7 linked regions of the Daphnia pulex genome follow. The protein of the gene in region 1 purifies or fractionates together with the protein of each later gene. This does not show direct contact. Links are inferred from orthologs where the notes say so. Each region holds a gene or a part of one and is shown in the gene's direction. Other genes may lie near its edges. The genes, in order: S-phase kinase-associated protein 1-like, protein prenyltransferase alpha subunit repeat-containing protein 1-like, F-box DNA helicase 1-like, E3 ubiquitin-protein ligase MYCBP2-like, F-box only protein 9-like, F-box/WD repeat-containing protein 5-like and YY1-associated factor 2-like.

Region 1 (3,070 bases):
ACCACTAAAGAGAAACAGAACAGTCAAATTCGTGTTCAAATAGGAGGAACTTTTCAAATTTCTCAACTTACATATCCATGAGAGTGAGTCATTCTTGTTGGGGACAATCTTGATTTTAAGATCCTTGCCGCTATCCAACTTGCTTGGGTCAGTCAGGGATTCATAATGGATCTTGTCTAGGGCATCTGAGCAGTTGGAGATCAACTATAGAAGGTGTTGATAATCAAGCTCATAAGCTGAGCAATCTTGGCCTGGAATGTCATAGTCTCAGCTTCATCTTCCATTTGATCTTCTCCAGGCATCTAAAAAGGGAAAGGAAAATATTTCAGTAAGAAATGTTTGTCAATTGTGGTAGATTGCACTCACAAATTGAAATTCTACATACTATCTATGGACTTGAGGCATACCAAAAAATGTGTAAAAAACCAATTTGTTTGTCTAAACCAGTAGTAAAACTGGTAAAACTTACTTTGCTTTTAAACGTAAACAAACAAACCCGACGCTTTTCTGTTCACGTTTGGTGGGGATCTACATGTATACAAGGCCGCCGGGCAGTCGTAAAAACTGCCACCAAATTCGCTTCTTGTTAGGCCTGCAAACTATAGCTTTGGGTTGACACACATCAAGCCGGGAAAGTGAGCCCGTTCGACTTTGAATCGCTGTGTAAAAAATACAGCTATTAGTATATCTTCATGTGATCCATTTTGAAGACCTTTCTTTGTTTAATCTCTTTCATACAAAAATTTTCATGATAAGTAACACATTTACGTAAATTTTGTATTAATGTTTAGTGTCGTTTTGAATTTGCAGTTTGAATTGCAGCGGTGGCGTTTCGAAACTGAGCCCCGTTTGACTTAGAATCGCTGTTTTAAAAAATGAATATATTATATCTTCGTAAAATGTGATCCATTTTAAAGAGATTTCTTTTTTAAATCTAATGCCTACAAAAATTTGCGTGATTGGTGTCACAATTACGTAAATTTAAGTGTCTAATTACTGCAATTGAATTTTGCAGTTTGAATTGCAGCGGTGGCGTGTCGAAACTGAGCCTCCTTCGACTGTGACTAGAATCCCTACGGGAAACTGCGCATGGCGCCATGGCTTGGAAAAAATATTTTGGGGATTTGGCCATCTCGAATTGTGCAAAACCGGAGAGAGAAAAAAATCAGTTAATTGGTTTTATATATTGCCATTTGCCAACAAAAAGAAATGTAGAATACACAGAAGTCAAAACTCAAAAATCTCGAAAACTGGAAAAGAACACGTTTTTCATAAAAACCGCTTTAACATGACTGTTGGTATACTTTCGCCCCTTCCCCTCCGAGTGTATACTATGCGATGCGAAAGTTGCAGTGATGTTTTCCATCACAGAGCGAAACAGGGAGGAGAGGAGGGTTCATTTTTACTGAACATTTTTCAGACCAGCACCAGCGCCATTTGCTCTAGAGCAACCTTTATAGAAAAGTACGTAATTTGCTTAATTTTTTGTTGAACTCCAAGCTTAATTTTCTCAACATTATTACAATACGGACTAGAGAGTTAGAAACTCGAAAATGTACCCATAATGTTTGAGATAATTCCCATAATGATGTGATTTTCTTGACTGTTATTTTTGTTTGGAATGTGTGTGCTGGTTCTCCTGAGGGCTTGATCCATTCATTGTTCTTTGCTGCTGGACTTTTGGTTATCAAAAAGTTTTTTTGTGTATTTCAGTTTTCAGAGAACAAACACAATTCACACAATGCCAAACATCAAGCTGCAGAGTTCCGATGGAGAAACATTTGAGGTTGATGTCGAAATTGCCAAGTGTTCAGTAACAATCAAAACAATGCTTGAGGATCTAGGTAATATTTTTCAATAAGCTTAATGTTAATGTAACAAATAAAATCAAAAGTTGCACCACAAAGATATTTATAGGCAAATGCGTCATTATTTTCTTTTCAAATGCTTAAAAAAGGTAACGTTCAATTGAAATTCAATTTTGGTTTTAGGAATGGATGAAGATGACGAAGAAGTTGTTCCTTTACCCAATGTCAATTCTGCTATTCTACGTAAAGTAATTCAGTGGGCAACTTACCACAAAGATGACCCCCCACCACCAGAGGATGATGACAATAAGGAAAAACGTACTGATGATATCTCATCATGGGATGCTGATTTCCTCAAAGTAGATCAAGGAACTCTGTTTGAACTCATCTTGGTAAGTGTTCATTTTCTGATATCACACCTATGAAAACATTCTACAATTGTTTTAAGTTAAAAATGTTAGTGAAATGTAATGTACATATTTTTGTTTTTAGGCTGCCAATTATCTGGATATTAAAGGCTTGCTGGATGTTACTTGCAAGACTGTTGCAAACATGATCAAGGGGAAAACCCCAGAAGAGATTCGCAAGACCTTCAACATCAAGAACGATTTCACCCCTAGTGAGGAAGAGCAAGTACGCAAGGAGAACGAGTGGTGCGAAGAAAAGTAAATTATCTCGACGAAATTTTGTTTTCACATGTTACATGTACCTTTGTATCCAACTTCATGTTTTCAAGCCAAGAATACAATAAATTAAAAAGCAGTTTTAAGTGTATAGTCAAACAAAAGAACAAGTTGTACGAAGTTCCGTAGTGCACTGGTGAATTAACTGTATGTTTTAAAACAGCTCGTGCTTTAGACAACCTCCCGTTTTGCCAATTATAATGTACAAGTTTTGGTTTTTTTGTGTGTGTGTGTGTGTGTGTGTGTCAGTGTGTTGAACACTGCATTATTTTTAGATTTTGTTTCGTTAGATGGTCTCCTGAAAATGAGCATATCAAGAAAAAGATAAAGGGACTCGCGGATTATATCCGGGCTTAGCTACTAGAAATGCTTTGCAAGTTAGACACCATCATTGGTTTTCATAGGTAGATGATAGGCATGATACCTTGACGGCTTGACCATTAATTTTATAATTTTCCCTGCATACGTTTTGTATGCATAATATGTAGTGTTTCTTATAATGTGCATAGATTGCATTTTCTTCGTAGAAATAATTGTTCACGGGAAGTCGGAAGAAAATGTTCACTGGTGCGTGCTGAT
Region 2 (3,036 bases), about 2.6 Mb from region 1:
GGTATAATATTTAAAAAGTTACACAGCTGTCTAATTAATCCACATAATTACTTTTGCTTTGGCATGAGGCGTACAGCCAGTACAGGCAGCAAGTGAAGACATCTACAAAATCAACGGCCGTCAGGCAAGGTCCTCAAACAATTTGGCCCAGTGCTATATGAGGCACTGCATATGCATTATAACACATTGAAGTATGATATGTTTAACTGCAAGTCTGCACAAGCTCCATTGAAGTGCATCCCTCAACTGGAAAAGGGCAGCAAAACCACTGCACAACGAACAGCAACACCAAACTGACCATGTAATCCTACAAAGGAAAGTAACATTAACACATCAATAACATTTTCCGGTGGAAAAGGAAAAAAATATTGATAATAAAATTTGCAAAGAAAAACCAAAAATACATGCAAGTCATGTTTAACTTTGGCTTACAACTGTAAAATGAATGATTCAAACACTTAGTAGTTAGTTAAGCCAATGATTTACTTGAAATGTACACTAAACTAGAAGATGACCGAAGACCAAATTAAGTTTTAAAGAATGAAGTGGATTTCTGTTCCGTAACATGAATAAAAATTTACAACTCTCCACAAATTTACTTAATTTAAAAGAACTTTCCACAAAAGCTCTTATTTAGAAGCATGGAATATGATGTCACTTGTCTCCAACATTAAGAACAACATTGCTAACCTACCTGATTAACTTACAAGTACAATATTACCTTTTCAGATTTCCACTTTTCATCACATTTTTTTGTCTTGCAAATGGCATATGACCCTCTCAAAGAAGCATCTTCATAGTTCATGACAAGGCAGCGATCACGTGGAGAAATGCAGAACATCTTCCGACATGCTTTCACAAGATAAATTGACGTAGATTAGAAAATGGACCTTTCAAAAATTTAAAACTCTCACGATTCACTTACTTGCTTTAGAATTGTTCTCTTTCGATTCAGCTTGGTCGAATGGCGTGGATATTTATATCTCATCATCTTTAAAATGTAAAAGCGAAAAACAGTAAAACACCGTCATGAAGCTGCAACACGATTCCGTCCGCTGTCTCAAAGGCAAATGGATGGAGGCATTTGGTTTGGTTTCAATCTAAAGTCTGAAGCCGACGATAACATATCGATAAATAACTAAAAATCGATACTACAAATTGCGATTACCAGAGCGGGCAGAGCTTCTGTTTACTAGCGCCACTTGAACTACTCTGGGCAATAATCGATGATGCAGTCGAAAAAAGAAAAAGAAAAAATTGAGAATTTAACGGCTGTTTTTGACAGATTTTGAAGGATGCAGCGAGATCCTTCCGACTATAAGAAAATGGCTCACGATCCTTACTGTTTAGAAGAAAGGATAATATCAGACCTTCAAGCTGTTATGAAAAAAGATCCCAACTTGTAAGTATAATTTAATGGTTTTTCTGCAACATCCTTTATGGTGATCAACACCAACTGTTTGTAAACACTAGTTTTTATATTCATTATATTTTTGTTGACAGAGATGAGTTTGATGTTGTTCCAGTAACAGAAGCCAAAAATCGATCACCAATCATCCATATTTCTCACAATCTTGGAATTGAAGTTTGGTGTGTAAAGACGGTTTTCATGTACTGCTATGAAAACAGTTTCAAATTGGATCCCATGTGGAAAAAGGAGTATTTGAGATTGGAAAGATACACAAGAGTGGCATTATTGCTTAATCCCAACATAGCTACATTGTGGAACACGAGAAAGAGATTGATTGCCAATCATCTCTTGGATGGCGATTGTGATTTCCTGCTCAGCAAATTAGTACTAAGTCAAAAGCCCAAATGCGTTGAAGCACTTTCTCACAGGCGTTGGCTACTCCAGCAAGTGTCTATAGACCCACAATGGGTGGAGACAGAATTGTCTCTGTGTGATAGGCTCTCCAGTCGCATGAAATGCAACTACCACGCTTGGTCTCACAGACAGTGGGTGTATTCTCACTCCCTCAAGCTGCAAGGCTTCAATCTCAATCTGTGGGCGTCTGAATTCGAGATTTCTGACGTTTGGACAAAGTTTCACTTGTCCGACCATAGCGGTTGGCATTATCGAAAATTCCTCCTTGATCATTTCAGGCAAAATTTAGGCAAAATTGAACAGAACATGGATATCGCCCGGAAGGTATTGGGCGACTCAACCGGTACAGCTACATCTTCCCAGCTCTACATGAACCTGCTGAACGAAGAACTGCAAAAGAACCAAGATTTGATCTTAAGTTTCAACGCCCATGAAACGTTGTGGTACTATCGTCGATTCCTTTTGCAAGCCGGGACAATAGATCATTCAGAGAGTCTCTTCATCGAAAAGTGTTGCAATCCCGCTAAAAGTAATAGCAACTCCGCCAACAATGTCGACGCCATTCAAATGAGATATTTGGAGCATCATCGACGATGGCTGTCTGATTTCTGTTTGTAAAATTTGACTAATGCTGCTGATTTAGGATCCGTTTGTTGTGTATAAAGGTTACTATAATAAAAACCATCATCCAAGACGGTTAAACTATTTAAACAGAGATACGGTTTATTTATTTCGTTCAGCTTGTAATCGTTGTTTCATTACAGTAATTCAGATAAAAAATACCACGCAATCCAGGCTTGAAGGCTTGAAGCTATAAAACTTGGTGAATTGGTATACGTATTAAGTATATACAAATTGAATAGGAGACGAGCCCAACACCTCAAGTGTAAAAAAAAAATAATAATAATAAGAGAATCAAGAAAAGAAGCAGTCAAGAGATCAACTATAATGCTAGTATAAAACTGGGTGGAGGAGAAATAACTTAAAAAAAGGATCATCGTAAAAAGAGAGGAGATTGCGTAGAGTCGAAGGCGATAAAAGACGGTCGCCAGATTACCTTTAATTAAATTACCTCCGCAGTTGCATACAAGAAAGAGGAGAGAAAGCTAACAATAAAAAAGAAATGTGTGTGTGTGTATGTGTGTGTGTGTGTAGGGAGAAGAAAAGGAGGTGCACCGGTTTGTCGTCGTGAAAGTGTGTTGTGTGTTGCA
Region 3 (4,039 bases), on another chromosome or scaffold:
TTACATTTTGTGCAGCTATTATATTGATATTATCGCAAAGAGCGTAAGCCTAGAAATTTGAAATCTCGTAGACTCAATCAACTTATTTGTTTAGTAGACGAAGGTCAAAGAGTGAACGGCTCACCTCGATTGCGTCAATTGTGATGGCTCGTACGATGTGACGTCCACCATCTGTCAACCGAGTTCACTTACTATAATCTAGGCTAAATATCAAACTGTAAAGATCGAGTAACAAGGTACACAAATGGCTCCATTTTGAAGGCCTTGTACATATCGGCTCCCGTTACTACCGCATACGTCAATATTCACAATACGTTTAAAACAACAATACCTCTGAGAAGATAATGCTGAAGTAACATATTGCGTTTCTATTAGCTTTATGGATAACGACGTATCCTGGCACTATTATTTATGGGAGGTGTCGTTGGTACTTAAAAAAACAAATCATTCAAGCTGATTTCAGCGAAAGAGGAAATCACTAACGTGTGGATGAGAATGCCTTTTCATCTACTGCATTATTAAGTTTGTTGACCTTCCATACAAGAGTGCAACTCGTCCAATCTATGAAGTAATGCCCAGTCCAAAATCATTAAAAATAAACTTTGTAGTGTGGGAAATAAAATCAACCTTGCATGGAACTTTGCCGCCTTATTGTGATAAGTGTTACTTATTAAACCATCAAATAAGCTTGAAAGCTTACGACCAAATATTACGAAACAAGTGCCCTTGTGGCTAACCCAAGTGCCATCTACGCTGATATAATGGAATGGAAATTAGATCCTTAATTGGTCAGCTAGGTCTTTATCTAAGCCATATCAATCATATTAAACGTTACCCATCGCATCATCACGTGATTGTATCTAGTGTCTAGTTTGTCAGTTGGTTCAGTTTTTTCCGCTTCTGTAACTCTCCTGAATAAACAAAATGAAATAATGCATTTGTATGAACCTTTCTCTTTAATAATGCTGCCCAGCTGGGGAAAAAAGACGTTTGGAGAAGAATATTCAAAAATAAACTCTCTAAAAACCGACACAATCAGTTTCACTTTTTTGGGCTTTTATTTTTATTCGAGTTTATTTTTTTTATCTCATGAATCTATTTCAGTATTTCTATACTAATTGAATCAAAATGAAATTAGCTTTGATTGATTAATTAACTGGTTTTTTCTTGTTTGAGTTGGATATTTAAAAAAAACTTCATATTTTGGACGCTAGATGGACGCTAGATTGTGCTATTGTTTTGGTTGAAAAACGTAAATACAACGCACCGGACGCGTTTACGAGTCCGTCTACACGTTGAAATTGTAACTCTGGTTGTAGTTCTGTACAAAATAGTATTTTCGAATTTTGAAATGAATAATCTTCCTGTTCAAGTGCTTGAAAATATTTTGGCCCACATACCTGTTATAGATCTTCATAAGTCATGTGTGCTTGTGTGCCAAAATTGGAGGGAAATCATTTGTCGACAGAAGGTAGGGTAGTATATGGCCGATATGGCATTCATTTTTGTTTGAAACCACTCTTTAAACAATAGAACATTGACATACTTTTGTTCTCCTATTTCAGTTTATACCTTGGAAAAAACTTTATCTTTCATACAGCTTGAATGTTGAGGAATCTACTGCTTTCCTGGACCAACTCTGTGATTCATACAACATTACGGGAGTGCAAAACTGTCTCCGTGGTTTGATTTTGTAAGACATATTTACCAAAAGTTTTATATTGTTAAGTATAAATAACTCTGTTTTAGCTATTTTTTGGAGTTCACTGGGTCTCCTGTGAATACCATGAGGTATTTGAAAAGTCATACCCGCTTCAGTTTAGCTGAAAGATTAGTGGTTGAGCAGTATAAAACTACTTCACTCTGGGGGATTACTGCTATGATTTGCATCTTCTCAAATGATACATGGGAAATGTATAGATTGTTTGATTTATTGACGCATTCTGAAAGTGATTTCACGACAATGGTAAATTCAATCTTCCATCATTAATTTAACCTGTTTTGCCTCCTCTAACACATATTCCTTGCATATAGGAGGTAATGGAGAAATTTTACTGTTTATGCACTTTGTTTCTCTACTTCCACAGAAAGTTTGGAATTCCAGCTAAGTATGCATTCTTTAATGTGTATTTGTGCTTTGTTCTTATAATCACAAGTTATTTTACTTATCTCAAAGGTTGCATTATAATTTGATATATGCCCTCAACTTGTTTGAGAATCGCTGGACGGGTGCCCCTATTAGTCAAGTGTCAAACCAGTCATCAAGCCAGCAAAAGTCTTCACCTCCTCCATTGACACACGAACAATCGCGTATTGTAAATCATCGCATCCAAAAAGATGATGTAAATTGCTTAAATTAATTATAGAGATTTTCTAAAAATTAAAACTTTGAATTTCTTTTCATGTTTGTTTTAGTTAATCAAGATCGTGGCGTTTGCTGGAAGCGGGAAAACTACTACTTTGCTACGTTTTACCGAAAATAATCCAGAAACCGAATTTCTGCTTATTGTGTTCAATAGAGCAGTGTCCGATGAAGCCGGCGGAAAATTTCCGAAAAACGTAAAATGCACGACGATTCATAAGTTGGCTCGTAACCACATCATTGCTACTGGCTTGATGAAGAATAAAGAAACGGGTAACATTTTCCCAACGAGTTTAGTTAAAAGCCATATACTTGAAAAGGATCGGCGAGGACTAAAAAGATATCAACGAGAGAAACTGGTTCTTGACACCCTTAATCGGTTTTGGGGTTCGGCTGATGATACAATAACTCCTGAACATGCTCCCACCAAAATCAGAAGCAAATCGTCATCTGAAGATAATGCCACAGGAGAAAATGTTGTTGAAGACAGAATTCTGACCCTCGATGAACGACAGGTGAGATTCAGCTAATTAATCTCTGTTTATTGCTTCTCTAAAAAACACCTGTTATTCCATTAATTGCCTCTTTTTAGAAATTAGCGGCCGACGCCCAAAAAGTCTGGTCTGTCATTAAGAATCCAAACGATAGGCGTCTGAAATTGCCGTGTGATGCATTCCTCAAACTTTGGCAGTTGGAAAAACCGAATTTATTCGAAACTGAAAAAGTTCACTGTGTGATGGTGGATGAAGGCCAAGATTTGAACGGAGCCATGCTCGATATATTTCTCAGCAACATAGGCAAACGCATTATCGTCGGAGATCCACATCAGCAGATCTATCGTTGGCGTAAGAATAGCATAAACTCAACGTTTATTTATTTGAGGTTGCCTAATAAGTTTCTTTCTTCAATCCAGGATATGCCGTGAATGCACTGAATAAAGTCCCTGCTACCCACACGTTTTACTTGACTCAAGTAACTTCATGAAACAAATCTCTATAGCTATATTGTCTAACTTTTTTCTTCTTCTTAGTCATTCCGATTTGGACCAGAAATTGGTTTCATGGCCAACTCCTGTCTATCCGTCTTGAATAATGTCAATGATAAATGCTTGGTAGGCATTGATGTGCACGATGCACTGGTATCGCTCAGCGATGCCAATGATCAACTAAACCACCAACTGCAAACTAACGGCAAGATTTGCTACCTGGCTAGGACCAACCTGGCACTTTTCAAGAAAGTCGTGGAAGTTATTGGTTGTGAATTTGGTAGCAGTTCCCAGAAGCCTAAAATCGCTTTTGCCGGAGTAACATCAACTTATTTTCAAGTTTGTGAGATGTAAATAATGAAAGAAAATTTCATTTTTTAGGGAATTAAGAACATGGGATTGGACCTTATAATGGACGTTTATTATCTTTGGAGAGGAGGTAGTTTCAATCTTAAAAATGCTAAATTATGCTGAATGAATATCAAACTTATTTTTTGCAGCCTACGACAAAATTACCAGTCCCTTTCTACGTAATCGGAAGTTATTTGAAAACTTCACCAGTTTCACCAAATACGTAGAAGCCACGATGGACCACGAGTGGGGAGCGAGAATAGCTCAAGTGACCTGGGCGAAAAGTAAAACGGAGACGTATGTCGATGCGATTCGAAAATCTCATGTCTACATTTCCGATG
Region 4 (4,149 bases), about 210 kb from region 1:
TAACTCATCCTCAAACTTTTCATCAACTGTTTTTTTAGCAACGGCAACGAAGATCAACCCGAGTCAACGGAACAACCACCTGAATCCCCTCCTAAACGTCGTGGACGGCCACCTCGTAACCCGGCACCTGAAACGAATGAAAAAGAAGTGGAAAGGTATGTTGCTGCACTAGAATTATGTCAATTGAAAACTGAACGCAGCTGAAGTCATGCCAATAAATGATTATTTTTTTTTTGCTAATAGTTCCGCTGCTGAAGAAGAATTGGAGGTGGAGGTTAAGACGAGAAAACGAAACAAGGAAGATGAAAAAGACACTAATGTTGTTACGCCTGCTCGGAAATCCGCGCGATTGGCTAAACCCAATTGAAGTTAATTCCTTATCATTCATACTGCTTACATTGAAAATGACCACCATGCCCCTTTTTCTCCCTTTTTTTTCTTATCTGGTTTCCTATTAGAAGTTACAATTAACTACACCTCCTCAGCACTTGCACACTTGCGTATGATATCCATTTTACAAAAAAAAAGTGAAAAAGAGCAAAATAATAAGTAAGAAGTTTGCTGCTGTCACCCGTCTCTTAAAATGTGGTTATTTTGTGCTCAACTTGGACGTTGAGCGACCGAGTTCATTTACCCGAGTCGTCGCTTGAACCCTCTTGTGAAACGGTTTCTCATTTTACATTTGTGGGCATGGGCATTACATTACATTACTTATTTTTATTGGCTGTCGTGTTGCTGTTTTACTTGATCATCACGGAATTGTTTAAACAAGCTTTCAAACTTATTATGTGAGATGTGAATAGCTCCCTAGTCTTTTTTCTTTTGTCTCTCCACATTTGCCTACCATCTCGAAAGACTTAAGTCTTTGCTCGTATTGAAACCCTGATTGCAGAGGAAAAGGAAAGCCCGTCTAGTTGACAATAATTAAAGTTTTCTAAAAAAAGGAAAAGTCGGACAAATCAGGCGTGGTGTTGACGAATCCATTGGTAACTGTAGATTGAAAGTATTCTATGTAGCATAATTTGATCTTTCGCGCTCTCCTCGGCGTTCGTTGGTGGATAGTGGCGTTGTCCTGAACCAAATTTTGTCGTCATTAAAAAAATAGGCTATGGACTGGCTATGGAGGAGAACAAAGTTGTTATCTATCGTTGAATTAGCTTATTACGTCAATAATAAATACCAATAAAAATATTTTATATTTTACTGTAGTATTTATCTTTTGGTACAGTTACTCAGTTACTGTACCAAAAGATAAGTTATATAACAAAAAACAAAATATAGTTAATAATTTTACCACCAGTAGCTCTGAAACTAGTTCAGCTTTTCTCTCTCGAAATTTTCTCAAACTTGGAATTCGTGCACTGTTGGGATATATCACTGAAATGCTATCGGCCGTGCAACAATAGTAAACAGCTCAACTTTGAGCAGTCGACAAGGTCTCTAGCCGGTGTGCGGTGCTAGGATATAAAGGCAAGAAAGTTAATTAAAAAAGTAAGGTCTAAACGTACCTATATGATTACAGTGTGTGTTTTTTTTTAAATCTTAAGTGTAGTGAGGGTGAATACTTTAAATGATATTGACCACTCTTTAAATTTCGATTTCGCCTATAAAACCTTGAATTCAAGTATTAGCAGTGAAGTCAAAAGGTCATTTGGGTTACTGTACTCTAAATTGTAAAAGTTATGATTAAAATCTTGGATTGAATTCATGACATGACCTAATCTGAAGTATTTACTTCTTTTCTACAGAATTTTTTGGAAGTTGAGAAAACTGATGGAGAGATGTCTTGTTGACCCATTGAACAATAAGCAAGATGGAAAGTTCAGAGGAACTATCTAGTGGATCTTTCCTAGGAAAAATTCTTCACAAAGTTGTAGAAAATTCACTTAGGAAAGGGAGATGTAACAATAATTCCAAATGTTTGACTGGTTACAAGGTGTGCTATTAAAAATTAAACAAATTAAACAAATATAATACTTTATTTATATTTCATATAGGACTTGTTTGTTTCTGCAATAACTTCTTCTGAATTGGGAATCAACGCAGATCCTTCATATTTTACCTCTCTTGCATTTGTGCGCAAACTGATTATTAGAGAACAAGATGTGGCTGCTAAGAAAGGATATAATTTATGCAAACTCCTCACTAGTTCCAATTTGGATTTAGAAAATGAAGAACCAGTTACAGATGAAAATCAGAAAAGTGAACGAGTTCTCCAAGTTCCTCAGGTTTACTTGTTATTCTTTTCCTGCTTCTACATTTATTAAAATTACCAATAATTTTTTTAAATTGTAGGTTGTAGTAATAAGTCTGAGAAGCATATTTGATCTGATACAAGAAAGTCAGGTGACACATCCTCAGTTATGCTTCAAAGTACTAAAAGCTCTTTTAGGAATACTGCAGAATCTCTTTCCAGAAAGCTTGATGTCAGAGCCCTGTCATGTTGTTGGTATGCCTACTTTGCCTATTTTGAAGTTGAATTTAGAATTAAGTGACGATACATGTTCATTTTCATACTAGAACCCTTATTTGAACTACTTCTCAAATTGTCAACAATGACTGATGCTGAGAATACTTCCACGATCGAAACACAAGAGGTGGGAGAAAGCTTGTCATCTTTGGCTTCGTCTTGTCTTCTTAGTTTAGTCATCGCTTGGGGTGTAACTCCGCGAATTTTACAAGCCCTCGACGCTCTCATCACAGTTGCCCGTCCGTTGGCTGCTCAAATAATTGTGGTTAGTAATTTTGTAGCAAGTTTATTTAAATTTCGTGATAAAAGAGTGCTTTTTTATTTATAGCTCCCCAACATAATGCTGACTCTTCAAAAAGGAGTTCGGTCCACCGTGATTGGAACTTCTCATGTACCAGACTGGTTTACACAGGGAATCCAGCAGAAGACACTTGTTACATGCTTCTCTGTGAATTTAGGTACGTAATTATTATTCTAATAAATTTACACACGATAATAATGACCGACTCTTTTTGTTGTTTAACAGGCAAAGATTTGATTGAAAACTCCATTGCTTGTGACGGGCCATTTATTTTCTTGTTATCGTCCTGTGGACTTTACAAAATTGGATCAGGACTTGGTAGTACTGTCAGTGGTCGATTGTACGCATCCAACAAAAAAAACGTGCCCAAGAAGGGCACTTTGCTTTTCTTCAATGTATTTGATTTATCTTATATCACAAGGGAAGTGTGGACACAATAATATTTTTTTTTTTTTTTAAATTTTAGGGACAATTATTTCTTCATACTTACAGCAAGGAAGATCGAAACCTTCACATAGTCGATAACGAAACATTGGCATTGAAAGATTGCATTAATCTGCAAGATTCAATCGGCAAAAACTCGTCTTTATTTTCAGATGGAAACCGTCTCGGAAGCGTTTTCAAAACAGACGAAGTAAATTCATTTCAATACTAAAAAGAAATTTTGTTTCGTAACATTCTGCTTCGAAACAATTTATTAGGACGAACTCCATGCAACTCTATTCGAAATCAACAAAGGGGAGCTATTTTCATTTGGAGAGAGTAGATTGAGATTGGCTCTTCAGAGTCTATACATTGTAGGAGCTTCAATAAATGATGAAAACACCGACCTACGGCAAATTAATTTCAATGCTGACGAAGGATTTACCAGCATAGTGGCTGGAAAGGAATTTATGCTGATGGTTTCCTCTTCAGGAAAAGTACTACTATCCTCATCTCGTCATTATAGCTGTGCGTATGCACAAAGTAAACTTTTTTTTCTTAGGTTTCTTACCAAGGGAAAGCTTCCTCTCTAGGGTTGAAGACGGTTGGAGAGTTGGTCCATAACCAAGAGCAGACATCAAATCGCTGGTATGAACTTCCTCTTCCAAAAAGCCCGTCGATTGTTCGCTGTGCCACGGGACATGACGGCTTGCATGCTGTTTTCTTGGGTGCAGACGGGACTGCATTCTTTGCCGGGTTGGCCAAAAGAGGAGAAGACGGCGATTTGAGTAAATTTGTGATTTCCCCCCTTACAATATGAAAATTTTAACGATTGTCATTATTATTAGCCAAGCATCGAAGGCAGCAGAAATCAAGTCGACCGAAACGTTTTTCATCCATTGAAGGGAAAGTGGTTGTTGATATTGCTTGCAATAATGGAAGTTCGGCCATGGTA
Region 5 (4,014 bases), on another chromosome or scaffold:
ATTTCTTACAACTCCCGGATTCGCTAACTTCAAGAGCGTCACGGCTGTCGACCCTTTTCGCATGAAATTATCAATCCTAAACGGGAAACGACAGAAAGTTCTCCAGCAAGTATACGGTGTTCAAAAGAATGGCTATTGTAGCATCCATCTGAATTTTCTCAAAGATGCAATCCTAAAATCTGAGTGTCAGCAATTGAACGGAAGTCTCGTCTTCCACTGCGAGATTGAATCGTACGCGAAAAAAGAACCTGTCGCAGGTAAAGCTAATCTAATCCAAGACCAGTCAATTAGTTGCAGTGATCAGCTGATTGACCACTTTGAATATTTGTTCGAAAACATCAAGTACGCTGACGTCACTCTAAACGTCGGTGCTCAAAAATTTCAAGCACACAAAAGTATTTTGGCGTCAAGAAGCAAAGTCTTTGCTGCCATGTTCGAACATCCGACCAAGGAGAAACTGTCCAATCAAGTGGAAATTGAAGACATCAATCCGGATGTATTTCACGAGTTGCTTCGTTTCGTGTACACTGCCCGTTTATCTTCAAAGACCATGGAGAAAATGGCAACTCAACTTTACTTTGCCGCAGACAAATACTTCTTGGACCAGCTGAAGACCGAGTGTGAAGTCCATTTGCTCCATCATATGACTCCCGACAATTGCATGGATTTGCTGCTTCTACTCGGCAATGAACACCAACTGGTGGATGATTTGAAGAATGAAGCCGTCGATTTCTTTCGTATTAATCCAGTTGACGTTATGGCGACTGATGGATGGAAAAAGGCGAAAAAAGATCACCCGAAGTTGTTGTGCGACATTCAAGAAATGGCCCTCCGCCCTGCTGTTTAATGAGCATCTAGCTCATCTGTTTCTCTCAAAGAAGTTGAATCAAAATCAAGTTGAATGAAGAATTTAATTTTTTGTACCAAGAATTTTTTTTTTATCTGTTCAAGTCCTTATTCAAACATTTGTTTATTCAATAACGTGAAAAGGAACATTCAAAATACAACACAGTTGATTGCAAATTGTCTTAACAATTTCATGTTCGCTAGTTACTTTCCTAGAGTCAGTTTTACCGAAGGAAAACCAAGTATAATAGTGATTCCACATACAGCATTCATGAGTAAGTTTATGGATTTATTTTATATTAGAACCATTCGGTTTGTCTGCAAAGCAATCTTTAATTTGCCATAATTTGAATAGGCCGCGTGTTCCATCACCGCTTCTGCTACTAGCAGACGAAATTTTTATTTTTGTCGCGCAGCCACTGACGTATTAACTTGGTCAACATCAATTCGATTGTTTCCATTTTCTTTTACACCAATATTTCGTATATTTGTGCATATGTGGACTTACTGTTCAGTTAAAAAAGTATCGTCCGAAAGTAGGACTGACCATATATCCAGCCGAGAGAGTTTATTATTTTTCATTCCCAATGGTAGGGTTGCTACAGCTTGATTGGATAAGAAACATTTACAATTATATAATCAAAATATTTTTGATTTCATTTTGTCATGCCAAACAGGAGTCCGAGAAAGATCCAGCAACCGAGGAACTACTAGAATCGTTTCGGCGACAATGGGAGACTGAAATTTCTGCTGCCAGATGTATAAATTTATCACTTTGCTCTATCATTGTTAGTGAATGTTGACCAAACTTTAAACATAACATTGCAGTGCAGCAATCTCTGACAAGCAGCAGTAAACCCAAAAATGAGGATCACGAGTCTGGGAGTAAAGAAACTGTTGATGAAGAAGAGGTTTGTATAGCTATGTACCATTCTAAACATATCCACAATCTAGCTTATTTATGTTACTAAACAATTACCCAAATTCTCTAGGCAAAAAGTTTATATCTACGTGGAGTAAAACATGAAAAGTCTGGAGAAGTTGTGGAAGCTATAAAATTTTACAAACGAGCAATGCAGTTGGTCCCTGATATTGAAGAAAGAATATACACATATCCCAAGAACAAAGGTTAGAAAATCAAATTTTATATTTGAAAATTTCTTGTCACTGTTTAAATTTTCTTGGGTGCGACAGAAGGCAGCGAGACTACTTCGGAACCAAAAAGTCACAAAGACTTGAAGGAAGAAGTTCATAACAACAATTCTGATGATGAAGACGATGATGAACTTCCGGTTGATTTGCTAGTTAAGCTTGAACGGCTATTACTACAGGATGGTCTAGTTTGTACCCCACACGATGAACCAAAGGTTTGAAACCATTTTTAATGACTTGTGCGTATCAAACATTCACAGAAAAAATTGTTTTAGGGTACTCATATATCGGATTTACCGCGTGAAATTATTATTTACCTTCTCAAATGGGTATTTTTTAAATGAATGGTCATTACATAAATGTGCAGCGCTAAAATTAACATTTCAATTTCTTCAGGTGGTATCTTCTGACTTGGATCTTCGGTCATTAGAACAAGTTTCATTGGTAAGTAGTATTGTTTTGCTATAATTTCAGGAGCGTCACTTATTTGATCATGTTTCCAGGTTAGCCGTGGTCTCTACGTCTGTTCCCGAGACACCGAAATTTGGAAACTCGCGTGCCTTAGGTATACTTTTATTCCGTATAGATAGTTTTGCTTGTTGGAAATGACGAAAATGTTTGTTTGTGTCTCCAGTGTCTGGAACAGCCCAGCCAGTCCTACAACTCTTGGTTTTACCAACTATAGAGACATGTTCATTTATCGTCCTCGTCTTCATTTTCATGGCTGTTACATAAGTAAAACATCATATGTGCGGCAAGGAGAGAACAGTTTTCAAGATACCAATTATCAGGTAAAATATTGCCGAAAGAAAATGTCTTACCGTGATTTTTCTTCATTCTTTTTTTATTTAGCCGTGGCATTTGGTAAACTACTTTCGATATTTGCGCTTCTATCCTGACCGAACCGCTATAATGTCCACCACTGCGGATATTCCTAGCTTGGTAGTCAGTAAACGTCTAAAAAGAAAAGATCCTTCTTGTTTCCGCGGTTTCTACACGCTCCATGGAAACGTTGTTACGTGTATCTTCAAACGAAAACGGATTCCAGAACGAACTGAACGAATCGATAACAGAAACCGAAGAAGGAATGACGAAGCAAATAATAACGGCAGCACAATGATTGAGCAGATTTTCGAACTGGTAAGTTAACTGACACCTTATAATTGAGCGGTGCAATTAAATCGTTATTTCTCTACTGTCGTCTTTGATGAATGTAGGAATTGGAAATCAAGACTATCAATAAGAAGAAACTTCATTGCGCACTTCATTGGAATCGTTACAGTATTCAGACTGTTTACCAAAATAAGGAATCCACGACTGCCAATTTTGATATAACCGCTACCCGTTTTCCGCCCTTGATCTTCAGCCGTGTGAGGTCCTATAATGCCCAAAGTGAGAAACCACTTTAAAAATCCTGTAAGGAAGTTCGCTTCAATCAGATGCAAACAATTTTAACAATTAATTGTGCCTGTTTATTGTTATGGAATTACAAAAATAAAATGCAATTACAATTTAACGTATCAAGTCTTATACGCAGGTCTATAATATCGGGAATTATTGTCAATCTCTAGTCAATTTCCCTTTGGCTATTTTTGTTTTAACCTTGAAATGTTTTTTTTTGTTTTTTTTTATTGTTTCCCCCTTTAACCCCGCATGCGCGCTTTACCGTCTTTCCGTTTCCGCTATTCAGTTTCCACAAATTAGTGCCCTATAAGTCGTAAATTCGTAATAGCATACTCTGTCTCTCCAAAACAAATCAACATCAAAAGTTGTTTTGATACAGTCTTTTTACCCTTTTTACCAAAAATAATAATGAAGTTCTTTTCAAAGATGTATGACGCCTGATGCCAACAATTTTAATAGTCGACATGAGTAGCCCTATGTTTTGGGGCGTCCATTTGGCTTGTTTAATATTTCTACTGAGTTGTTTCAGCTCCTCAAATCCCCAGCTTGTCATCAACATAAAAAATCAGGTAAACTGCTGTTTGACCATAAAAGCTTGGTATAATTGACTCT
Region 6 (4,004 bases), on another chromosome or scaffold:
ATGCCATTGTCAAGTTCATTGCAACCAAAGTGAACTTTACCTGACCGAAAAGACGAAAAAAGAAAAATAAAATAAAAAAACTTTGGTCGAGATAAAAATCCTGGCGACGACCGTCCATCGTTATCTTCTTTTCCCCGAGAAGTTCACATACAAGATAACGACGGCGCTTTTCCTCTCTTGGATTTGTTGTATATGTATGCGCGTCTATATAGCCGTATTCCGCCTACTCCGTCTTCCGGCCCAACGCACACACATGTGTCTACTATATATACACCCAAAAGTAAAAGTAAAACAATACGAAACAACAAGTGGAGCTGGTGGATGTCACAAGAGACTCACAACTGGATCAACACCGACACAGCATTGGCTCAATAGCTACATCCTCCTACATGTTCAAGGTTGACCACAAGTTGGCTTTCTCGTCCAGTCTGGAAGGCTTCATCAATATGTAGAAACCAAAAACTTGATTGAACTTATAGTTGATGCTGCTGCTGATCTCGTCGAAACTGGCTAGTGGCTTTGACGGAGAAGCGCGTCTATTTTACAAAAAACTTTAGACTCGACGTCGCCCGATTTTTCAACCAGTCCATGACCTATGAACTCGCGACTTGCTTGTTAGTAGCTTGACCTCTCAGCAACGTATGTCGGCGAGTCCGAGAAAAATTGACTTGAATGTTTCGTGTTCCTGCTAGCGAAAATCGAACGGTCTCTTTTTCTCATTTCAGACGTAACGCATCGATTACAGTGGCTTTGAATGAATAGGAATTGCTATTTTGTGTCAAAATGTTATGGAATCATTTATTCGATTGTTGTTGAACATTGGTAGGCAAGAGAGACAAAAAAACAATCCTTCAACATTCGCAAGCATTGCAAATCACTTGCATTTTATTTAAAAAACATTCGTGATCAGCAAGACAGCAGAGTGGCGCAGCGGAAGCGTGCTGGGCCCATAACCCAGAGGTCCGTGGATCGAAACCACGCTCTGCTATAACATTTTTGTCAACATTTTGAATGATTCGCAATTTTCCTTTAACCTAAATTGTAAAGTTTATATTTTAGTGATATCATTCCAATTTTTGCAAAGTCAACCATACACTGACCTACAAATAATGTCAAATTCACTTTTTGGGATTTCACTGCATATTTTTGAGGAATAAAGTGATGCGAGAGTCATCTAGCGGCAACCATCCATAACTATCGCTTTGTTGTTATTGTTGTTTTTATTTCTAGGAATGGTGAATTGTGCCAAGATCCAATCCATCATTCCAGTTCGTCAAGCAAAAAAAAGTTTCAACATGAAATGCCCGGAATAAACTGTTGAAACATCTTGAATTGGAATCTCCACAGAAAATCTTATGTTTATGATTTTACAAAAGATTTAAATTTAATCTAAAATGGACATGGAGAATGGTTGGAGTAAACTGCCTGATCACGTTTTGTTGCAGATATTTCGATTTCTCAAAGCAGAAGTATGTAGAGCTTCATGTTTATAGTCATCATTTCAAGTTAAATTTCTTTCTCTTGATGTTTCAAGGACATACTGAAACTTTCCACCGTTTCCCAGACTTGGTACAGAGTCTCTAGAGATGAACTATTGTGGAAATCTTTCTTTAAAAGAGACTGGAACATCAGTCCGAAAATTGGAATCGCTCCGGGTACATCTCCTCTCTCATATCTATTGAATTTATCAAATTTTTTAAAATTGCTCTCATATTTATCAAATGTGTTATATCTATGACTTCTAATGTGTAAATCTCATCCTTGTTTAGGCAAAACTTCATGGTTCAGTGAATATCTGAGACTGTGGCAGCACACACCAATATTAGAAACTGAGGTATTAAAGGGCCATACACATCAAGTGCTTCATGTCAGTTTCTCGCACAATGGCAAATATTTTGCCACCTGCTCCAAAGATGGCTATGTTATGGTATTAAAAGATTACAAACACTGGTATATCTAGTACATTGCTTGAATGATGTTTGATATTTCTTATTGTGCAGCTTTGGGATGCTGGTTATCCTGCCAGAATCAAACATTATTATGATATGAAAGTGTACAGCTGGAAAAACACTCAGTTTAGTCAATTTAATGAATCAGATACCCTTCTGTTGGTATCGGGAGTTCATTTTGGTAATCACTCAAATACGGGTGAAATCGCCGTTTTCAATCTTGAGGTAAGTGCCGTAGCAGGGAGCTGCTACTTGATACATTAGATGAAAAATTAATTTAAATCAATTTTATCTTGGATTCACAGGAGAACTTTGTGATTCAGTGCAGAATGTCAAATAAGCCTTACGATTTTTTTGGTACGTGGTACAATGACAACTACCTACTATCCGGTGATTTACGCTGGCTTGCCCATCTCGTTAGTACGTCAATCGTTTGGTTGAATCGAGCTTCACAAGAGTCCGATTCGGAATTCACTTCAATCATGAACCGTATGTTCAAGTTTTATAACCGAAGCGCCTCTTCTATTCGCTCAATCACGGTGGCTAACTGCCGCTCTTTACCTCAACATCAGACGTCTTCTTCCTCGCCGACACCCTCTGGCACGTCTGACGATTGCGCCTCCAATAAAGTATTCATTTTTGATAGTCGCTGTAACTTGCAGCATAATCGTGGAGAGCGCCCTTTTAATTGATTTTGTACAGAGCTGCCACAAGACGGGGAATCCAATTTCACAGCCCGAACTTGCCGGAACCAAGACTGTAGATCCCGGTTCAGCCAAAGAGTCCTTCCAAGAAACATGTAGAAAGATCTTTTAGATATTCTGCGGGTTCTGCGTTCAGTTGCATCTTAATATTTCGCCTTATGTTTCAGCTGAAGGATCTTTGTGGCCAATCAATACTACCGATGAGTTTCAGTGCTGGCGGCGAAACTCTCCCGACGTTTCCATTTCAGGGTAATAATAACTATTGCTGAATTTTCTAAAGCTCATTTTAAACATTTTTTTTTTCAATTGTTTAGTACTACATCCGCAATGGACGATGACATAGAGGGCGATTCAAAAAGTGAAGATAACGAAGCCGGTGAGCAGTCAGGTAGATCCGATTCGCCGTTTACCAGTTCCGGAACTGGAGCACGGTCTCAACGTGCAGAATCTGAAGCCACGGACGAAGATTCAGAGGAAGTGCTGGATCCCCGCGAAAAATTCCTAATTTTCACTATGGGTTCTAGAACTTACACTCCGCATCAAATAGGTTTGTTTTATAGCGTTTTCCTTGAACCCGGAACCTTCAACAATTACGTTTTCTACTCAGGTTTGAAACGAATCACTCCGTTTACTTTTTGCAATCGCATCGACGTTGGGCCGAGTTTGGCTGAACGAGTGGCTATCCAGAGGCAAGAGCGGCAAGCTTTGGAAGAATCTCTGGCCCTTGGAATTCCTCCGTAAGAACAGGTTTCGTGGTTTAATTGATCATTTTAATTCTTTCTACATTTCCAAAATCTCCAGTCCCGAACCTGTTTGGCAGGACTTTGAGGCGGTAGCCGATCGGTTTGACCCAATTGATCATATCATCGATTTGAATGGACATATAATTGGAATGTCTTTGTCTCCAGACCACAGGTATTACTTGGGATCCTCGTTTTCATCATAATAATTATTATCGACTTCTTAAAATCCGTATATCCGATTTCAGATATTTATACGTCAATGTGCGACCCTGGCCACAAGGTTGCACTATAGAGAATCCCCTCCAACCACCGCCCATCGCCCAAGAGATCGACATACACGTAATTGATCTAGTTACATTGAAGCAGGTATAGGAACACTATTGGAAATATGGCCATTGGCCAAGTAAGAAGGTATGACGCGAGGGAAACTAATATGGTTTCACGTTTCTGCCTTTCAGGTCGGATCTTTGTTACGGGCTCATCGGTCATTCACGCCTAATGACGAATGCTTTTTTATCTTTCTGGACGTCAGTAAGGATTACGTTGCAAGGTATAGGAGATGGGCGTTTACTTTGTATTGTTTCTTTAAGTCCAATTCAATGATTCGA
Region 7 (3,390 bases), about 520 kb from region 1:
CTGTTGAAACGGACATGAGCAACATGACCATTTGGATCCTCTTCTTTGGCCTCCACCGCCATGTCCGCTGCCTCCATGATGGTAGAAAAGATAGACGTTGCGCCAATTTTTGGTGTTCAATCCGTCGCTGCAGCTGAGACAGAGCCATCCTTCCAATGAGCTCTTCCTTGGAAATGGCCCAATTGTATATCACTTCCGGCGCAAGTGGACCACATGGCAAAGACGTAGAGACAATAGAGAAGTCCAGCTCCCCAATCCGCTTAGATAGCGGATAATTTCCAGCAGGGCCAGCACCAACATGAGGATCCACGTCAGCAAGACGGCGTGTCGCGTGTCCGCCTTCTTCTTCTCGTCGGATTGAACGGCAGAGTATCGCAGCAGTACAGGACGCATAGGCCTATCCAGCGAAACGTACCAGAACACTTCTTTCCGGGCAATTGGCAGTTAGTGGAATGACGAGAACTTCGCGAGAACGTCATACCGAGGCGTGACTGGAACTTTTCTCAGGTGAAAGCCACCCATTCGGCCGTTCCGTCTTCACGCGTCTTCATCGTTGCTGGGTAGGCTGTGTGTCATTTACTGCAGGAACATGAAACTTTTCACGTTGGATCGTGTAATCTATTTTTGTGTAGGGTAATACTCGGCCTGCGGTCGAGAGAGACTTTAGCGGCGGCCGTTGTGGCGGCAGCGGTGGCCAGCACCGCCCGGCAAGGGCTGACAGTATCGCTGACGGCCTTGCTGGCTGGAATCAGCGACATAGCCATCAATGGCTAGTCGGTTGTCTCGGGGTGGCTATAGCATCCGGAGAGAGCTGGGGATAGAGTAGGGTGGTGTCATATCGCACTCCCGAAATTGTATGGATATTCAAGTTCATTTTCATTTTTCAAGTTCATTTTCATTTTTCAAATTCGTTTTCATTTTTCGAAATCATATTAGTTTTTCAAATTCATTTTAGTTTTTCGAAATCATTTACATTTTTCAAAATCATTTTCATTTATCAAAATCATTTTCAATTTATGAATTCATTTTCAAAACGTTTTCAATTTTTGAATTTATTTTCAACTTGATTTCAATATTCAAAACGATTATCAATTTGTTTTTAAATCAAATATGGTAATCGATTTTTGAAAAGTTTTTTTGGAAAAAGTGTTCAATCCGCACCCCATAATATTTATTATATAGTGTAAAGCATTTGATAAAAAGAAATTCTTTCCAAATCACAATGTTTTGTTTTGAAAATAATGTCAAAGTTTCCGTATCGATCACACGATAATCGATATCTTGTTTGTAGCCGAAAAGCACAGAATAACGCGTATTAATAACGTATTTTGTAATGCCATTCCTACATTTTAATTCGAAGTTTGCGAGTAGTTGAATTATTTTGATTGATTCACATCGTTTTGATCATGGATTCAAAGAAAGGCAGTCCAAATGCAAGGTAAATTTATCCATTTATTTTCTTTCGATTTTGAGGGAAGGACTTGGGACAATCGTACACCTATTGTGTAGCCTTGACCGACCATATTCTTGTTTTTATTTATTTTTGTAACTATGAATTATGCTAGTTATAAGTATTTCAATCATATTAATGGGGGTTTCTGTACCTTCAAGAAGGGCGAAGCGGAGTAGCAAGCAAATTGAAGAAAATTACTGGGACTGCAGTGTCTGTAAGTTGACAAAGCGCAATATGAAAACAAAAGATGTTGACAAATGGTGACGAACATTGTATTATTTACATAGGTACCTACAGAAATAATGCAGAGGCATTTAAATGTTCAATGTGTGATGTAAGAAAAGGAACCTCAACCAGGTAATTTTTCCTTAGCAATATTACCATTTCTAAACATTTAACAGATGTGACAAAACTTGCACGTTTTCAGGAAACCAAGGCTCAATCCTCAGTTGGTACCTCAAGTGTTCAATCCTTCCTTAGCTAACAAAAATAGAAAAGAGAAGGAATCTAAAGAAAGAGATAAATCTGAGAGGAAATCATCAGATGGAAACCCCACCAGGAACAGTAAAGCCAGACCAAGGTATGTTTTAATAAAATTGTTAAAACAAAATTTGATATCTATCCTTCAGTGTGACTTGCTAATTGTTTGTTTAAAATAGGTTGAAAAATGTTGACAGAAGCACTGCTATGCACAAAGAAGTGACAGTGAACAATGTGACAGTAGTCATTACTGAGTTTCGGCCAAAAATTAGCAGCAAGTCAACATCTCCCAGTAACCTTGATCTGGATGCTGGACACACGACCAGTAGTTCTAGCAGTAGTGCCAGCAATCACGGCAACGATCTTTCCCCTGCAGATCAAGAACATTCAGACTGACTAAAGTCGTTGCTCGTGATTCATTTTTTTATTATTATTTAGCATCTCGAGGTATTTTATTTGAACTGTATTTGTTTGCGCACCCAATTGACCCCATACCGATCTTTTCTCAACTGCCAAGAAGTATATAATTTTTAAATATCTATAAAGGCTATAATTTGGTCCCAACCGAATTTCAGTGAGATAGAACTGGAGCGACAGACGTCCAAACCGAAAACTATACATGAAAAACCAAGAGGCAGTTGTCTATAACTATTCTGGATTCAAAGTTTTTCCCTTTTTTTTTTTTGTAACCACGAAATTCCATAATGTTGGAGATTATTTTTGAGTGTTGGGAATTCCTGTTTCTGATCGGATCTCAGTACCAATATTCGCTTCCCTTTTTCGGTTTGAACCTACCTCATCTGAACGGTGCGAAGAGGTCGGGGAAGATTTGGTAAAAAATTGATTATGTCTGTCGAGTGGATGGTTTTCGTTTCGTGATAAATGTGCGCTCTCATCCGTCTTTATAATTTCACCCTCCTCATCCACGACAAGTAAATACACAGCTGTACAATTTGATACTCTAGACTTCCACGGGTGACGGCATTTTTATTATTCTTTAGTATCCTTTTGAGGTACTCGTGGTACTAAACGGTAAAAAGTGTAGGCTATCGACGATCATTTTAACGACGCGTGAATTGGAATGAACCGTCGATAGAACTTTTGACGAGCAAACAAAAGAAGATTGGGATATAAGAACGAGCAAAATGTAGTTTTTTGGCTGATCACCATCGGGGACAGTTCAACCAATTGAAGGGAGGGGAATCAGTCGACAAAGGCTGATGGACGAGGAACAAAAGAAAGCAAAATAATCTAAATTCAAACACAATTTCTCGGTAACGGATTGACAATTTTACTCTTTTTCCTTCCACAGATCCAGGTTTCATATGTTTCCCATAGCATAAGTTCTGGTCCATTCTCGAGCATTACGAATAGCTTCTACCTCGTTGACTTTCCACAACTCAGCAACATCATTGGCCAATGGATCATCGGGATTGGGCGCACTCAATAGAGCTTGA

The links.
Region 2: the proteins of S-phase kinase-associated protein 1-like (region 1) and protein prenyltransferase alpha subunit repeat-containing protein 1-like purify together in Homo sapiens (co-immunoprecipitation; 3 studies listed by BioGRID and IntAct, with this or other methods). This does not show direct contact. The link is inferred for Daphnia pulex from reciprocal best matches to the Homo sapiens genes SKP1 and PTAR1.
Region 3: the proteins of S-phase kinase-associated protein 1-like (region 1) and F-box DNA helicase 1-like purify together in Homo sapiens (affinity purification with western blotting; 8 studies listed by BioGRID and IntAct, with this or other methods). This does not show direct contact. The link is inferred for Daphnia pulex from reciprocal best matches to the Homo sapiens genes SKP1 and FBH1.
Region 4: the proteins of S-phase kinase-associated protein 1-like (region 1) and E3 ubiquitin-protein ligase MYCBP2-like purify together in Homo sapiens (affinity purification with mass spectrometry; 4 studies listed by BioGRID and IntAct, with this or other methods). This does not show direct contact. The link is inferred for Daphnia pulex from reciprocal best matches to the Homo sapiens genes SKP1 and MYCBP2.
Region 5: the proteins of S-phase kinase-associated protein 1-like (region 1) and F-box only protein 9-like purify together in Homo sapiens (co-immunoprecipitation; 9 studies listed by BioGRID and IntAct, with this or other methods). This does not show direct contact. The link is inferred for Daphnia pulex from reciprocal best matches to the Homo sapiens genes SKP1 and FBXO9.
Region 6: the proteins of S-phase kinase-associated protein 1-like (region 1) and F-box/WD repeat-containing protein 5-like purify together in Homo sapiens (affinity purification with western blotting; 16 studies listed by BioGRID and IntAct, with this or other methods). This does not show direct contact. The link is inferred for Daphnia pulex from reciprocal best matches to the Homo sapiens genes SKP1 and FBXW5.
Region 7: the proteins of S-phase kinase-associated protein 1-like (region 1) and YY1-associated factor 2-like purify together in Homo sapiens (affinity purification with mass spectrometry; 3 studies listed by BioGRID and IntAct, with this or other methods). This does not show direct contact. The link is inferred for Daphnia pulex from reciprocal best matches to the Homo sapiens genes SKP1 and YAF2.

What each region holds. Positions count from the first base shown.
Region 1 is NC_060019.1:12,034,505-12,037,574, reverse strand, and holds S-phase kinase-associated protein 1-like, read left to right. Parts: upstream 1-1,306; 5' UTR 1,307-1,333; coding exon 1,334-1,464; intron 1,465-1,713; coding exon 1,714-1,844; intron 1,845-1,991; coding exon 1,992-2,200; intron 2,201-2,300; coding exon 2,301-2,477; 3' UTR 2,478-2,570; downstream 2,571-3,070. Other genes in the region: heat shock protein 90-2-like, read right to left, coding at 1-4, 72-79. UniProt on the Homo sapiens protein: Essential component of the SCF (SKP1-CUL1-F-box protein) ubiquitin ligase complex, which mediates the ubiquitination of proteins involved in cell cycle progression, signal transduction and transcription.
Region 2 is NC_060019.1:9,416,919-9,419,954, forward strand, and holds protein prenyltransferase alpha subunit repeat-containing protein 1-like, read left to right. Parts: upstream 1-1,201; 5' UTR 1,202-1,295; coding exon 1,296-1,402; intron 1,403-1,503; coding exon 1,504-2,443; 3' UTR 2,444-2,536; downstream 2,537-3,036.
Region 3 is NC_060017.1:4,720,554-4,724,592, reverse strand, and holds the start of F-box DNA helicase 1-like, read left to right. Parts: upstream 1-1,239; 5' UTR 1,240-1,351; coding exon 1,352-1,471; intron 1,472-1,565; coding exon 1,566-1,693; intron 1,694-1,749; coding exon 1,750-1,966; intron 1,967-2,034; coding exon 2,035-2,108; intron 2,109-2,176; coding exon 2,177-2,342; intron 2,343-2,415; coding exon 2,416-2,877; intron 2,878-2,954; coding exon 2,955-3,207; intron 3,208-3,275; coding exon 3,276-3,334; intron 3,335-3,392; coding exon 3,393-3,665; intron 3,666-3,728; coding exon 3,729-3,786; intron 3,787-3,847; coding exon 3,848-4,039. UniProt on the Homo sapiens protein: 3'-5' DNA helicase and substrate-recognition component of the SCF(FBH1) E3 ubiquitin ligase complex that plays a key role in response to stalled/damaged replication forks.
Region 4 is NC_060019.1:11,823,075-11,827,223, reverse strand, and holds the start of E3 ubiquitin-protein ligase MYCBP2-like, read left to right. Parts: upstream 1-1,349; 5' UTR 1,350-1,491; intron 1,492-1,748; 5' UTR 1,749-1,813; coding exon 1,814-1,936; intron 1,937-1,997; coding exon 1,998-2,228; intron 2,229-2,295; coding exon 2,296-2,449; intron 2,450-2,520; coding exon 2,521-2,735; intron 2,736-2,798; coding exon 2,799-2,928; intron 2,929-2,996; coding exon 2,997-3,166; intron 3,167-3,237; coding exon 3,238-3,405; intron 3,406-3,472; coding exon 3,473-3,691; intron 3,692-3,756; coding exon 3,757-3,982; intron 3,983-4,042; coding exon 4,043-4,149. Other genes in the region: sister chromatid cohesion protein PDS5 homolog B-B-like, read left to right, coding at 39-155, 244-367. UniProt on the Homo sapiens protein: Atypical E3 ubiquitin-protein ligase which specifically mediates ubiquitination of threonine and serine residues on target proteins, instead of ubiquitinating lysine residues.
Region 5 is NC_060025.1:1,307,189-1,311,202, reverse strand, and holds F-box only protein 9-like, read left to right. Parts: upstream 1-1,236; 5' UTR 1,237-1,433; coding exon 1,434-1,436; intron 1,437-1,523; coding exon 1,524-1,605; intron 1,606-1,674; coding exon 1,675-1,757; intron 1,758-1,838; coding exon 1,839-1,974; intron 1,975-2,040; coding exon 2,041-2,213; intron 2,214-2,273; coding exon 2,274-2,327; intron 2,328-2,394; coding exon 2,395-2,442; intron 2,443-2,501; coding exon 2,502-2,563; intron 2,564-2,632; coding exon 2,633-2,789; intron 2,790-2,850; coding exon 2,851-3,138; intron 3,139-3,215; coding exon 3,216-3,407; 3' UTR 3,408-3,514; downstream 3,515-4,014. Other genes in the region: speckle-type POZ protein-like, read left to right, coding at 1-847; out at first protein-like, read left to right, coding at 3,843-3,971.
Region 6 is NC_060022.1:5,214,614-5,218,617, reverse strand, and holds the start of F-box/WD repeat-containing protein 5-like, read left to right. Parts: upstream 1-1,204; 5' UTR 1,205-1,394; coding exon 1,395-1,469; intron 1,470-1,534; coding exon 1,535-1,655; intron 1,656-1,769; coding exon 1,770-1,927; intron 1,928-2,000; coding exon 2,001-2,174; intron 2,175-2,254; coding exon 2,255-2,578; intron 2,579-2,651; coding exon 2,652-2,748; intron 2,749-2,820; coding exon 2,821-2,902; intron 2,903-2,967; coding exon 2,968-3,200; intron 3,201-3,260; coding exon 3,261-3,390; intron 3,391-3,454; coding exon 3,455-3,568; intron 3,569-3,641; coding exon 3,642-3,762; intron 3,763-3,854; coding exon 3,855-3,946; intron 3,947-4,004. UniProt on the Homo sapiens protein: Substrate recognition component of both SCF (SKP1-CUL1-F-box protein) and DCX (DDB1-CUL4-X-box) E3 ubiquitin-protein ligase complexes.
Region 7 is NC_060019.1:11,515,374-11,518,763, reverse strand, and holds YY1-associated factor 2-like, read left to right. Parts: upstream 1-1,278; 5' UTR 1,279-1,406; coding exon 1,407-1,438; intron 1,439-1,611; coding exon 1,612-1,667; intron 1,668-1,740; coding exon 1,741-1,810; intron 1,811-1,880; coding exon 1,881-2,033; intron 2,034-2,112; coding exon 2,113-2,329; 3' UTR 2,330-2,890; downstream 2,891-3,390. Other genes in the region: ubiquitin-conjugating enzyme E2 N, read right to left, coding at 3,255-3,390. UniProt on the Homo sapiens protein: Binds to MYC and inhibits MYC-mediated transactivation. Also binds to MYCN and enhances MYCN-dependent transcriptional activation. Increases calpain 2-mediated proteolysis of YY1 in vitro.